3 linked regions of the Nothobranchius furzeri genome follow. The protein of the gene in region 1 purifies or fractionates together with the protein of each later gene. This does not show direct contact. Links are inferred from orthologs where the notes say so. Each region holds a gene or a part of one and is shown in the gene's direction. Other genes may lie near its edges. The genes, in order: cnot1, cnot6a and capzb.

Region 1 (5,156 bases):
CTCTCTGTTTGGGATTGGCTTCTGCACAGTCACCAGAGTTGGCCAAGAGTCTGGTAACAAGGTGCACCATTCCTGCTCCTGGCAGATGAAACAAACCGTCGTTTTTGTGTAATTAATGACGAGTAGTCTTTTTTTTTTAGTCTAGAACATGAGATCCATCATGCTTACCTTCACTTTAAATGGAGCAGGTTGGTTTTACTTTTGAAGGATTTGCTGCTTCGTATTAAAACTGATTGTAAAGTTTAGCATGAAGTAGCCACATCCTGAGGTTTCCTCAGCATTAAAACACAATAAAGCACTTTCTCTACTAAAGCTGTTAAATATATTTTCTAACTTTCAAATCATTTCAGAATCCCAGAAAATGATATTTCTGTTTTTGTAAATGAAATTTTGCTGCTTGGTTTTTCTTTGACCTTATTTCTGATTATCTGAAACATCTTGTTCCTGTTCAAAAAGAGATCAGCCTTCTGAGACTCATATCTTTTCTGATATCTTAGAATCCCAACTTGAACTTCAAAGAGGTGACGTATGAACTGGACCACCCAGGCTTCATCATCCGGGACAGTAAAGGCCTGCACATAGTGGTGTATGGGATCCAGAGAGGGCTAGGCATGGAGGTGTTCCCTGTCGATCTCATCTATCGACCATGGAAACATGCGGAGGGACAGGTAAGTCTGTCAGATTCATATTGTGTCATTTTAAGTAGTTGGAACTGTTTGAAGACGTTGTAAACTCTTGTAAAAGTACTTTAGGAGTTTTTGTATTATTTTTGTAAACGGTGAACTTTCTTTTTCCAGCTGTCGTTCATTCAGCACTCCCTGATTAACCCAGATGGGTTCTGCTTCGCTGACTATCCTTGTCACACCGTGGCCATCGACATCCTCAAAGCACCTCCAGAAGATGACAACAGAGAGATCGCCACATGGTATGGAGGCTGTTGCTTGTCTGGGGCTGCTTCCGTGAGGTTTGATTAATTGAGCTGAAAGCAAATGTTTTTTATGTCTAGAGCTGAGGAAAATAATCAAATAATCGATGCATCGGGATGCGGACATAAACGATTCTGCGTCGTAGAAGAGTACGCCATAATCGATTATAGTGGAATGTAGTTTTGTTTTTTTAACGGCGGCACCAGCACACCATCCAGATCTGTCAGAGTGAGCGTCCTCCACATTTACCAAGTGGTTCCGCCTTAATGTGGTACTGCAGGGCTGAGCGCTTGAGTTGTAACCGGAGACCGAACCGGAACCGAATCAGCCCGACCGGTTCTGTTGGATTTGGGCCGTGAATTATGTTAATTAAGTGGGTTGTCACGCTGCTCGCTCCGCTCGCTCGCACAGCAACTGAGAGAGAGAGAGAGAGAGACATTGTCTGCTCACACACGAGAGGATCGGAGGACGCTCCTCCAAACCGATGCTCCAAACACGCATTATTATTTTCATAATTTAATTATTTCTCCTGGAAGCGCTCAGTCAAACAGAGTGTTGTGATGCTGAGAGATCCGGTCTTGGGGAGGGGGCGGGGTCAATGACGGCGGCTGCAGCGTGATTGCCTGTCTTTTATTTAGGGACACGGAGAAGTTAAAAGGAGAGAGAAATAGAAGTTCTTGTTCCACTTTATTCTTTTGTTCCACGATGATAAACTGATGTTAAATTCAGCTGAAAGAGAAACTGGGAGGAAGCTTTGGTTCATTTTAGGTTACAGGAGGTCTTGTCTCCTATCTGCTCCTCCAGAGACAGCATGGACATGAGGGTTACATGGTGAGGGTCACACAGGACAGGTTAGTGGAAAGGTTTGTAGTTAGCTGGTTAGTGAAGGCGATCCATCAGCTGGGTAATTTAATCCTAATCCAGCCCACAGCCTTCTGCTGGTGTTATTATCAGAAAGAATAAAACACACATCTTAAATATGATTGGAAGTGTAGAATTAGTTTTATGTTTTATTATTTTCTGCATCAAACAGAACTTGATTCATGCTCCAACATTTCAGAAGCGAACCACTGGGTTCAAATAAAATAACAAACAAGTCAAACATTTCATTTGGTGTTATTTCTGACACCCTTCAACTGTGGCATAAACATCTGACTCTAGAGCTGCTCAGAGACATTAAACACTCCTTTATGAACCCAGTATGTATTTTATTATTACATTGTGTGTCCTGTAGGTTTTCAGTACTTTTTTAGATTTTGTGTGTTTTTCTCAGCCTGAGGCGTGGTCTTCAACGAGGAAACAGATCGGTTTACTTTGTTAAATCTTAAGTGTTTAAAATGTTTTGTCCTAACCTGTTGTGAATGGAGAGCTTTTGAGGGATGGCAGGTTGTCAATTACGTTTTTGATAAAAAAAAATAAAAAGCAATTTTCTGACATCTTCTATTTATCGCTGAAAACAAATCAATATGAAATAATCGTGATGCTCCTGGATCTCGAATCGAATCGAATCGTTGACCCAATAATCGTAATTGAATTGGGAGACAGGTGAAGATTCGCACCTCTATTGATGTCCTTACTGAGCGATCAATAAAAAATCTGAATTAGTGTGCCCTCTGCCTGGATCGTGCGGTAAATAACGTAAATGAAAACAAGCTACCACTTAAAAAAACGCTCCGATTCATTTCTTTAACTCCTCCAGGAAAAGTCTGGACCTGGTGGAGAGTCTTCTGCGCCTCTCTGAGGTTGGGCAGTATGAACAGGTGAAGCAGCTCTTCAGCTTCCCTATCAAGCACTGTCCAGACATGTTGGTGCTGGCCCTGCTGCAGATCTCCACCTCCTGGCACACGCTGCGCCATGAGCTCATCTCCACTCTGATGCCCATCTTTCTGGGCAACCACCCCAACTCTGCTATTATTTTGCACTATGCTTGGCACGGACAGGTTGGTGTTTTCTTCTTCTTCTTTTTGTGCCTTTGAGTGTAACGCACATACCCAGAGCCTCTGCCTTACTGAGACCTGTAACATTGTGCTCTACAGGGGCAGTCTCCTTCCATTCGTCAGCTAATCATGCATTCTATGGCCGAGTGGTACATGAGAGGAGAGCAGTATGACCAGGCCAAGCTGTCTCGCATCCTGGATGTGGCCCAGGATTTGAAGGTTTGTTGGAATTTTATGAGTGAGTGAGTGAGTTAGTGAGTGAGTGAATGAGTGAGATTTTTTTTCCTCAAATCTCCATGTTGGATTGGTTAAAGTAAATGTTGTAAAGCGACCTGTAACATGTCAGGTTTTAAAATTAACAAAATTAGCTAAATCTGTTTATGCTACCTGATTTTAATGGTAACAAATTAATGAATATTTGTAATTATGTTCTTTACCAGTCCCTCTCTATGCTGCTGAATGGTACTCCATTTGCCTTCGTTATTGACCTCGCTGCACTTGCCTCTCGCCGTGAATACCTCAAACTTGATAAATGGCTGACCGATAAAATCAGAGAGCATGGGGTGAGTCTCGGCGTTAAACTAGGACCAGTTATCACCAGATGTTTGGTTTTAATTCTATCACCATGAGAATGTTTCACATTTACTTGTTTCTGATGCCACTTTCACAGGAACCCTTTATCCAGGCGTGTGTGACATTCCTGAAGAGGCGCTGCCCATCCATTATGGGGGGTCTGGCCCCTGATAAGGATCAGCCCAAAAGTGCCCAGCTGCCCCCTGAGACTTTAACCACCATGCTCACCTGCCTGAAGTCCTGTGCTGGGTGAGAACCTGACATGTCTGACGCTCGTAGACCTTTCACTGCCAGGATGATTTCACGTCTGAGTTTGATCAACGTTTTGTGAAACTCATCACATGGTCTTAACTTTAGTATCAAATCCCACCGTAGCATTAGAAAAAAATACTCTAATGAAGAGGTTAAGGTGGAGTTTATTAACATTTGAGAGGAATTTGATGGATCTTATCCCTAAAGGAACAATTGCTGTTTAAACATTTCTGTTGAAATAAGGAGCTTTGACATCAAGCCTTTTAGTAAACACAATAACCTCTTTACTCAGTCAAATGGCCACAGAGCCAATGCTATATCCTAACTATAACCTTTTTAACTTGACTATATCTTATCAGCCTTTACTACATCTGTGCTGATGTTTGGTCTCAACAAGGCCTGCCTGCTGGTTTTCAAAGATTAGAGGTGAAGGTGGAAACGTTCAGACAGATTAGTTTATTAGGGGATTAAACTCTAATGAAGGAGTTCTGATCCTGTTGATGTGAAGAAACGTGCTTCCAGCTGCTTCTATTCACCACAGACAACTACTGGTCATACATCATAGCTCTGTCTGTGAGGATTTTAATACGGTGATTGATTACGTAATTCTCTTATTTGAAAACCCTTTTTTTTAAATCCACTATTTGAAATGTTTTCTAATGGGAACTCTTGCACAATAACCGTTTATGTCTACCTTTATAAAAATATTGTTCTCTGTGTGTAGGAGTGTTTCCCAGGAGTTGTCCGAGGCGATCCTTACCATGGCTGCCAACTGTAACAACGCCATGAACAAAGCTCGGCAGCCGCCACCGGGGGTTATGCCCAAAGGACGCGCCCCCAGCACCAGCAGCTTGGATGCCATCTCACCTGTGCAGGTGAACCAAATGATTCCTTGACATAGCTAATCTGTATTTTGAATCTGGAACATCTCTCTTGCTCTTGTTTAACCATTTTCTTCATGCTGTTCCTCAGATGGACCACCTGACTGCGATTGGTTCCTTGAGCCTGGCAGGAACAGCTACGTCCCACTCTCAGAGCATGCAGAGCTTCCAGCCTTCCATAAGTTCAACTCTCAATAACCCTCTGTCCCCTGCTAAAGCCTTCCCACCGCTCCCTAACCCTAATCCCAGCACGCAGTTTGGCGGAATCAGTTCCAGCTTGCAGCTCACAGGAATGGACTCTGGTACTATGATTTATTCCTTCCTTTTACACAAACGCGTCCATGCTAACCCTAGAAGTCTCAACTCCACTGACGCTGTTTAAGTAAACATGAGAAGAATTATTTGACATAACTTATAAGCTGACATAAATGTTAGATTGTTGGATGCATACAGTAACGAGGAACATTCACATCTGAGCAGGGTCACAGGTCATAGGCTGAGCTGGGGTAAACTGAAACCTTTTGTCTTCATTGCAGGTTCTTTGGGCTCAGGTATTAGTTCTAGCAGTGGCTTTAGTCTGGGAATGC
Region 2 (5,156 bases), on another chromosome or scaffold:
TCTCATACTCAGTGGTTGATTCTGAGAAACAAGCTTCCGCCATTGCTGTGTGTTTATTTATTTATTTATTTATTTTCTGGTCCGTCTCCTGAAGTGTCCGGGCGGCACGCGTAACTTTTATATTTCTGCCGTGCTTTGTGGCTGTTTTTCAGCATTTTTTTTATAATCGTCTCTGAACTTTTACAAATCGATTATGAGTCGGCACATGTCACAACGCGATGCATCGATTAAATTGTGAATCGGAACACCCTTATAGAATATGGAAGCAAATGGAATAAAAAACGGGAGTTGTGTCGGAACTCTGTTCATCCGACCCGATGCTCATAGACTGTTATGGCAGAAGGAGGCTAATAATTTTAAGACATTTCTGAAACATAATATTCCTCTGAGGTACGTTATCTTGGTTTTTTAGGCACACAGCTTAATAGTTTTATTAATTGTTGTGAAATATGTTGCCCGTGTAAAAATAATATATTAGCAGATTTGAGTGTGTTGATACATGAGATGATTTAACATATTTTAGTACATTCCTCTGCTTATACTCATCTTCTGTTTAAATAAATAATTTTAGGTCATTAGGATTAAAAATAAAATTTTAAATATAATTTATTTGAGTTAGTTTTTAAAGTGGCCAAAATCTAGCAAAGTGATGTGATAGCCAGCAGCTGGATTATAACGCCGGCTCAGAACACTGGAGATCTAATCTGGGTGTTAGGCACACACCCACCTGTGTTTAGTCAGTTACGTAAAGAAGGTCCAGCTTCCTCTTTCCTGCAGCCGTCTCAAACCTCCGGCCGCTGTTACCGACAGCACGGCCCGTGTTTGGTGCTGAATTTCTCGTTTGCTCCTCATTAATTCAATTACACCTGAGAGCTAAATTCAGCAGCAGGCTGCTCCCCTGACAACGTCAATATGGTATCTAGTTGGGAAGCTGAGGAAGGCTTCATTAGGGAGGCGAAGCTTTTTATTTACCCCAAAATAATAAATGTGTAGACTGAGTCTTTCAAGTAGAGATGTAGAAATTTTCATTTTATTTGTCCAGAACTAGATTATCTTCTATAAAGTAACTGTAGTCACAGTTATGCCCATCACACACACACACACACGCACACACGCACACGCACACACACACACACACACACACACACACACACACACACACACACACACACACACACACACACACACACACACACACACACACACTGTTTAATTTGTCCTCCCTGTTGCTGCAGGTCGAGTGAGGAGTCTTAGCACAGCCCTGTGGTCTCTCACCCACCTCACTGCCCTTCACCTCAGTGACAACTCTCTGTCACGAATCCCGCCAGACATAGCCAAACTACACAACCTGGTGTACCTGGATCTCTCATCCAATAAGATCAGGAGCCTGCCGGCGGAGCTCGGCAACATGGTGTCTCTCAGGTCAGTGATTTCAGGTTACACAATGTAATTAGTGCTGAGCTGGAAAAGGAGCAGTCACAGGTTACCGGGAACTCTCATGAGGTGTTTTTTATTATTCTGTTGCAGATTTTCCCCTTTCAGTGTCTTTGTTTTCATTTGAAAGACTTAATGAGTCGTGTTTGTTTTTAAAGTTAAAGTCCCTAAGTCATCCTCACACACGGGTGAAGTGCATCTCTGCATTTGACTCATCCCCGTGGAGAGCAGTAAGCTGCAGCAGTGGCTGCGCTCGGGAACTCTTTGGTGGTTTAACCCCCAACCCAACCCCTTAAAGCAGGGAGGCACAAGTTTTTGGTTTGACCCCCGATCTCCCAGTCCCGGGGCAGACCTCTACCATCAGGCCACTGAGAAGTTTTTAATTGTAAACCTGGATGTAAAAACTGCAGTGAAAGTGTTGCTGTTTTCTGAAGTGTTTGTAAATAACCTGACTCCTGTTTGTCCTCGGCAGGGAATTGCTTTTAAATAACAACCAGTTGCGAGTTCTCCCCTTTGAACTGGGAAAACTGTTTCAGTTACAGACACTGGGGTTAAAAGGTGAGTGGCTTCAGTCCTCAAAGCCCATTTATTTATTTCTCTGCTGTTTTTACAGCTGATTTCTGTGTTTCTTAGGAAACCCACTTGCACAAGATATTATGAGCCTCTACCAGGAACCCGATGGCACACGGAGACTGCTCAGCTACTTGTTAGACAATCTGGCAGGAGCTATCAAGCGCAGTGAGTATCAGCCCTCTGCCGTCGTTGTAAGGCTGAACAGGAATTTCAGCTTTCCTACGCCTGGGAAGAGAAGAGGATACTGGATAGGAGAAGCGTTTAAGGGCTTTTACTGAACCGTCTTTTCCTCCACACAGTACCAACCGAGCAGCCCCCTGCCCGATCGTGGATCTCTCTTCAGGAACCCGACCGAACACGTCCGTCAAGTAAGAACACCCACCCACACACACACACACCTCCTTTCCTCTCACAGAAGTAGGTTATGTTTTAAATATATTTAATAGTTATTTAAGTTTTGGCTATAGATGCAGGAGAGGATGTTTTCTCAGCACTGTTCTGAAGCAGCTGGAAGCGATTTGCAGGCTATACGGTTAAACGCCTAAATACAAGAACGCTAGCAAACATTATTCACGGTCAGTAAAGCTAATGCAGATATTTGATTAGAAGATTTTATCGCGGCAGTAAATAATACCCAGAAGTAGTGATAGTTGTAGTAATCTGTTTTATTCTGAGTATGCAGTTCCATTTGTAAGTATTTTAAATACTAAATAAAAACAGAAAAACAAAACAAGTATAAGAATCAAAGAATGACATGGTCAATCACAAACCTGAAAAGGGATCAAAAGAAGCACAAACTTGCTCACTGCCACTTCCTCATCAGACTTAACTAACCTAAATCTTCCTCATCCTCTTCTGTTACTTTATATCTGTGTAAATGTTTGCACAATGATAATTACAATTAATAGTTTTATGTGTATGATGGTACAGGTGTTTGTGAATAGTATACATACACCCGTACCATCATGATTGCACCCGTGATATTCAGAAGCTTTTTTCTAAATATTTAGTAAAAGCTGCTTCTTTTTCACTGATCCGTCATTAAAGCAGCATTATGTAAGAGTTCCACAGTGAAATAATGTTTGTTTATTTATTTAGCAGACGCTTTCATCCAAAGCAATGTACAACTTATAACCTATAGGGCATGTTGTGATCTGTGGGGGAAACCGGAGTACCCGGAGGAAACCCACGCATGCATGGGGAGAACACGCAACTCCACGCAGAAAGGCTGTAGCCGAGTTTCGAACCTGCAACCTTCTTGCTGCAAGGCAACAGTGCTAACAACTGCACCACTAGGCAGCCCAAAACAGTTTAATGTCTCAATCACACTGAAAGGAAGGTTACAATGAAACAGATTTAATTCTCCGCTGGCTGGGGTGTTGTCAGATTTTCTCCTTTAAAAAGACAAAACAAAATGGGGACGTCACTTAGAACCTGCCGCACACGAGAGCCAACTGCTGAGCAAGGGGCCTCGAATGACCGTTCGCTCAGCAGATACCTCGCTGTGTGCGCATTTTCCACCTCACGAGACGCTGAGGTGAATATCTGACCCCCTCGGGGGGGTAAAAACTCACCGTGTGCGCACTAAGTGAGCTGCTGGCTGAGCTGAAATATTCTAGTGGCCAATCAAAGCACGTTCTCCACTCACATGACCCCAAGATGGCAGCCCCTTGTCTGCATGTCAGAAAATAAACAAAACGAAGACGTAGCTGGAAACGGAGGAAATACCTCTACTTTTTTTGTTTATGAGGCATCGCCACCACCGTCATTTCAAGGTTAGGATAGTATGTGTACGGTGGCTGTAAAGCAGGGCCAGGCAAGGAGTTTATACCAATCTACTCCAAGAGATGTGTCTTGAAGACCCAGAATGCTTCCGACAGTACCACAGCCTGGATCCTGAATCCTTTGAGGGGGTAGTGGAAACAGTGGGCCCATCGATCTGCAAGGCACTGTTTCGTTTATTTTTCTGACACTCAGACAGGGCAGGGGCCACATCTGAATACATCTTGGAATCATGTGAGCAGAGAATGCGCTTTGATTGGCCACTAGAATATTTCAGCTCAGCCAGCAGCACACGTAGTGCGCACACAGCGAGTTTTTACCCCCTGTGAGGCGGAAAATATCAAACCGGTCAGATATTCACCTCAGCGTCTCGTGAGGCTGAAAACTCTTTGAAAATCAGGCGCACACAGGGAGGTATCTGCTGAGCAAATGACCATTTGAGGCCGTTTGCTCTCGTGTGCAGCAGACTTTATTCGGTGAGTTTGTGAGGTTGCCAAGTCTGCAGTGAGCTAACCCAGCATCCCAGGCATTTGTAATTCAACACAGTGCTCCAGAGTTGTTAAAAGAACTGAATAAAGCCAGTAAACAAGTGCGACCCCTAAGAAGCTACTGCATCCTTTAGTTGTACTCTAAAGCCCTTTTCAGACAGACATTCTGGAACATTTGCGGACAATTCAATCCGGTTTTTAACCGGAACTGTGTTTTCAGACACACCACTTTTGTACCGGAACTTGTCCTTTCGGCTGCGTTCACACAGCAGGGAAAAGTTCCAGATGTCTGACGGCGGCGGGGGGTGGTGGTGGTGGGGGGGTGATCGGACTCATGTTAAGAAGAAGAAGAAGAAGAAGAAGAAAATATCATTTCTACAGCGCCTCTCAAGATAAAAATCACGAGGCGCTTAAGCATAATTCTGCGCACACGAAGACGCATAAGAGACCTGGATGATGAAGCTCAATGGTTAAAGGAATCACTGAAGCGGTGTGAAGCGCTCCCTCGCGCGTCTAGACGGTACCGTAGGAGGCGAGCTGCCGTTGATCGCCGCATGCTACAGCAGCGGGCTATCTAGGTGCGCACAGCGTCCCCCGGTCCCCTCCTCCTCCCCCTCCCTCTTGTCCGGAACTTTACCTCACCAGTCTGAATCAGCCACCCTGTCCGTAACAAGTCCGGACCTGTTACTAGGGGCTTCGTCCGGATAAATTCCGGAACACATTATCCGGATGTTTGTATTCAGACAGAAAGGTCTTACGGACAGATTCCGGAACATTTCCGTTTTTCATGGCCTGTCTGAAGGGGGCTTAATGTTGAGTAAAGCAGGCTAGAGTTTATTATTGAGCTAACAATGCTAACGATGAATAAGGAGCAAATAG
Region 3 (3,600 bases), on another chromosome or scaffold:
ACCTGAGAATCGTTTGTGGCGCCGGCGAATCTGGGAGGGGAGCGCCTGATCAAGCAGGGATTTATCAGGAGATCCCGATGATGAAAGCACATCCTGTTTACAACCTGGAACGACAACAAGAATGGCCAATCACACGTTAGTAAGTATCAGCAGAGCCAATAGATGAGCTCATGGATGGTTCTAATGAGAAACAGGCGTAAACACAAGTGGTTGTTTTCTGCTTGGTCCTAGTGGTCAACCAATGTCTATTTAATACAGCGTGATATTGTTTTTGGATGGTAAAAAGTGAAGAGGACAAAAAAATGTCATTGGAAAACATTGGGGGAGGGGGTGGGACAGGTGAATGACTGATTGTGTTGTGAAGTGCCTTGGAGGGTTGTAGAACTCTAGAAGGTATATGAGAACACATGCAGGCCATTTACTATAAATAAATAAAGATGTGTCAGAAGTGTCCTACATTTTGTTCCGATTTCAAAACACAGGTATGTTTAGTTTTTCAGTAACTGAGCATCTTTTTAAAATTTTGATTAAACAAAATCTTTTATTTGCATTTGATTTATCATTTTTAATTAATCCTCTCATGATTCATGAAGTCTGAAATTTATGACTTGCAGACCTATATTTGAATAACATTGCCTAAGCATTCTATGAAACAACCTTGATAAAGAATGCATAAAACAGCAAAACCTCTTTCTACGGTCACTGAGCAAAACTAAATTTCTGAACACGGCCAGTTTCAAATGATAATGTTCAGTTCTAATTATATAAATGTTGACAGGAAGAATTTTAATTGTAATATGGATGACAGGTTTTTATGTTGTTATTATTATTTATTTGTAGTTTCAGTTTGCAATTATAGTTTTTTTTTCAGTAGCTGTCCATCTTCCGCCCTCCCTGGCTGCATATTTGCTGCTAAGCTCATCTCTTTCCATACTTGGCAATGCCTTTCTTGCTCCGTCGCTATTGGCTGATGCAAACTAACCCCCAGTGACCCGGATGTACAAGCGGGGCCTGTTTTCTCACCGCAGCCTCCTTCCTATAGCCCGGGTTGAGGAAGTAAATTTCGCTGACAGGGCTGGGTTCAGAAAGGGAGAGGCGAACAAAACATCTTCCGCGGGGTACTAAGTATAAATAAAAACGACAAGAGACCAGAGAAGTACGTTGGCAAATCACCACAAAGCTAAGGTGTACAGTCATCGGTGATATCGATCCCCGCTGAGACCGCCGCAGACATGGTAAGGCCCTCGGAGAAGCTGGTTGGAGATGGGGTTTTAGGCTTTGGCTGCGGTTGCTTTTTCACTCAGCTGCTGGTTGGAGGAGCTGGGTGGTAATTTGAGAGGAGCACGGAGCACAAATCACTGAGTGCATCCAACTTGCGTGGCTAGCAGAACTTCTGCGTGGCGAAAAGTATTATTTAGCTTCATGGCTAAGTTGCTAGTTAGCTTCCTGCTAACAGTAGTCAATCTACTTGCCTCATAGGTAAAGTTAACACAGGATGTTTTGTATTTGACACAAGTTTGCTACAGCAGGGATCAATCCTAATTTAGCTCTCTCTCTCACACACACTCACACAGTTCATCCACCCTTTTACTCTGGCTGAAACAGCCAAGCACGGAGTGGCTCGCAGCTAAAATAAGAGCGCTTGCTCCTACTATTTCTAATCATGACAAGTTGGCTGCCTTTCTCTACATTTTCCTGGATAGGTCTGACACCCAGTCCAGCCCAGTCTCCATGTTCACATGACTTATTTTTAGTCTAATTTTATTCTCGTCAGCCTTAAAATATGGTTACCTTTGTATGTTATGTCAAATTAATCCATAAAACATCATATTGAACTAAACAAAATGACAGAATTTTTCTAACTGTTTAATCTATTGAATTGTATGAACCCCAGATATGTGTGAAAATAACAGCAAAAGTTACAAGGGTTAGAATATTAACTGTTAATGAAATTATTTAAAAATGTAATAAAACAGTTGCTGCAATATTTTTCTATGTTTAGCAACATATTTTAATGTTCTAAGTTTTCCAAACTCTCTGTAAGCCTTTTTTTAGTCTCGTGGTGACTCCAGAGAACCAAAAAGATGCTTGTTATTTATCTGAATTACTAGTTTGACAAGACTCATTCACTTAACACCGCATGAGTGCTTGTTCCATTCAAGTGATATCAAACAGGTTTTCCATAACACTGAGATAATATGAATCTCTTTTCTGCTTCAGTTAATTTGTTGCCCAAAGTTTCAGCAACTCGCGTTTGTTTCCTGACAAAAGTTCAAACACACAATACAATGCAGAGGGTGGCATTTGTTAATAGATATGATGCTTATCTCTTAAAATTCAAACGTATTTGTTTTCTACTCAAACCCTTTTACTAGCTTCATTTTACATCCAGTTTTTTAGCATTTTCTTTCCACAAGTAGGCAGCATGACTGTTTGACGTCAACAGGAACTAAACCAAGTAGAACAGCTGCCCCCGTCTTTAGTCTGTTCTCCTATGACCCCAGAAGTTGCTCGTCTGATCGGTGTTTACATGAAGACAGCAGCACTTGTAAATGCATTGTCAAGAAACACGGGTGTTTAATGAAGCAGAGTGATTCATCAGTTAGAAATTGATTTTAAAAAGTGACCTTTGTGACGGGAGATTTTATGCGAGACACTTCCTATAAACATCTGTTATGTTCTGTTTTAGCCTTAATGAAAATATTTATGCTCAGAGGGCTCTCTGCTTTGTAGCATGTCATTATTCTTGTACCAGATGGTTGATGCATTCTTATGTACTTTAGTATGTTTGCACACTTCAGGTGTGGATTACCCATGTTAGATGGTTTTGTTTACATCTGTAAGGGAAGTGAATTAATCTGGTATAACACATTTTGTTGAGATAGGGGTTTGTTTGTTTGTTTTTCTTCTGTTTCAACATACTTTATTGTTGGTTTATAGGAGCATTGGATTGGGTTTTGTGTCGTTTGTCATTCTTGTTAGCAGAGCTTACATTTATCAGCGGTTCAACTTAGTTCACAAAGACAGAGGAAGAGAAGTCTCAGAACGCTTTACTCATCTCTCTGCACACACACACAGGTGAGACACATTACCTTAAATTTCATCTGACCAACCTGTTTGGAGTCAGGAAGTCACGTAAGCACTCTTAACACCTTCAAAATAAAAGCATGACAAAAACGAGAGCGTAAAAGAAGCATATACATAGCTCAACAATTCTTTGACTTTTTTGCAAACTAAGGGCACACATAGGTGTAATCTGTTGTGTTTTAGTGTATATTTTAGCACCTTAACTATGTAAGTGCTGGAGCAATAAGATTTACATGTGATCTCTGAAGACTTTGTTTCTGTCTGTCTGGTAAAGGTTGGATGAAAACATGTGTAGACACTTCTGCAGCCTGTTATCTCACCTTAAAAATGTCACTCCTTAAAACAGTTTCCTGTTGCAACTGGTCTGCCCACTAAGGTCCTGTCTCATATGGCAGTCTAGGTTGGGCTGGCCCATCTCTGCGCAGCCAGGTTTTGTTCACACAGCCTTCTCAGGGAATTAGGGGTGTAAGAAAATATCGATATGGCAATATATCGTGGTATTTTTTCCTGTGA

Evidence for each region.
Region 2: the proteins of cnot1 (region 1) and cnot6a purify together in Homo sapiens (affinity purification with mass spectrometry; 5 studies listed by BioGRID and IntAct, with this or other methods). This does not show direct contact. The link is inferred for Nothobranchius furzeri from reciprocal best matches to the Homo sapiens genes CNOT1 and CNOT6.
Region 3: the proteins of cnot1 (region 1) and capzb purify together in Homo sapiens (affinity purification with mass spectrometry; 5 studies listed by BioGRID and IntAct, with this or other methods). This does not show direct contact. The link is inferred for Nothobranchius furzeri from reciprocal best matches to the Homo sapiens genes CNOT1 and CAPZB.

The regions. Positions count from the first base shown.
Region 1 is NC_091744.1:81,580,442-81,585,597, forward strand, and holds part of cnot1 (CCR4-NOT transcription complex subunit 1), read left to right. Parts: intron 1-497; coding exon 498-668; intron 669-797; coding exon 798-925; intron 926-2,625; coding exon 2,626-2,866; intron 2,867-2,962; coding exon 2,963-3,082; intron 3,083-3,303; coding exon 3,304-3,426; intron 3,427-3,533; coding exon 3,534-3,685; intron 3,686-4,412; coding exon 4,413-4,563; intron 4,564-4,660; coding exon 4,661-4,871; intron 4,872-5,105; coding exon 5,106-5,156.
Region 2 is NC_091741.1:95,567,993-95,573,148, reverse strand, and holds part of cnot6a (CCR4-NOT transcription complex subunit 6a), read left to right. Parts: intron 1-1,235; coding exon 1,236-1,422; intron 1,423-1,906; coding exon 1,907-1,992; intron 1,993-2,067; coding exon 2,068-2,172; intron 2,173-2,306; coding exon 2,307-2,375; intron 2,376-5,156. UniProt on the Homo sapiens protein: Poly(A) nuclease with 3'-5' RNase activity.
Region 3 is NC_091743.1:46,417,353-46,420,952, forward strand, and holds the start of capzb (F-actin-capping protein subunit beta), read left to right. Parts: upstream 1-1,000; 5' UTR 1,001-1,232; coding exon 1,233-1,235; intron 1,236-3,600. UniProt on the Homo sapiens protein: F-actin-capping proteins bind in a Ca(2+)-independent manner to the fast growing ends of actin filaments (barbed end) thereby blocking the exchange of subunits at these ends.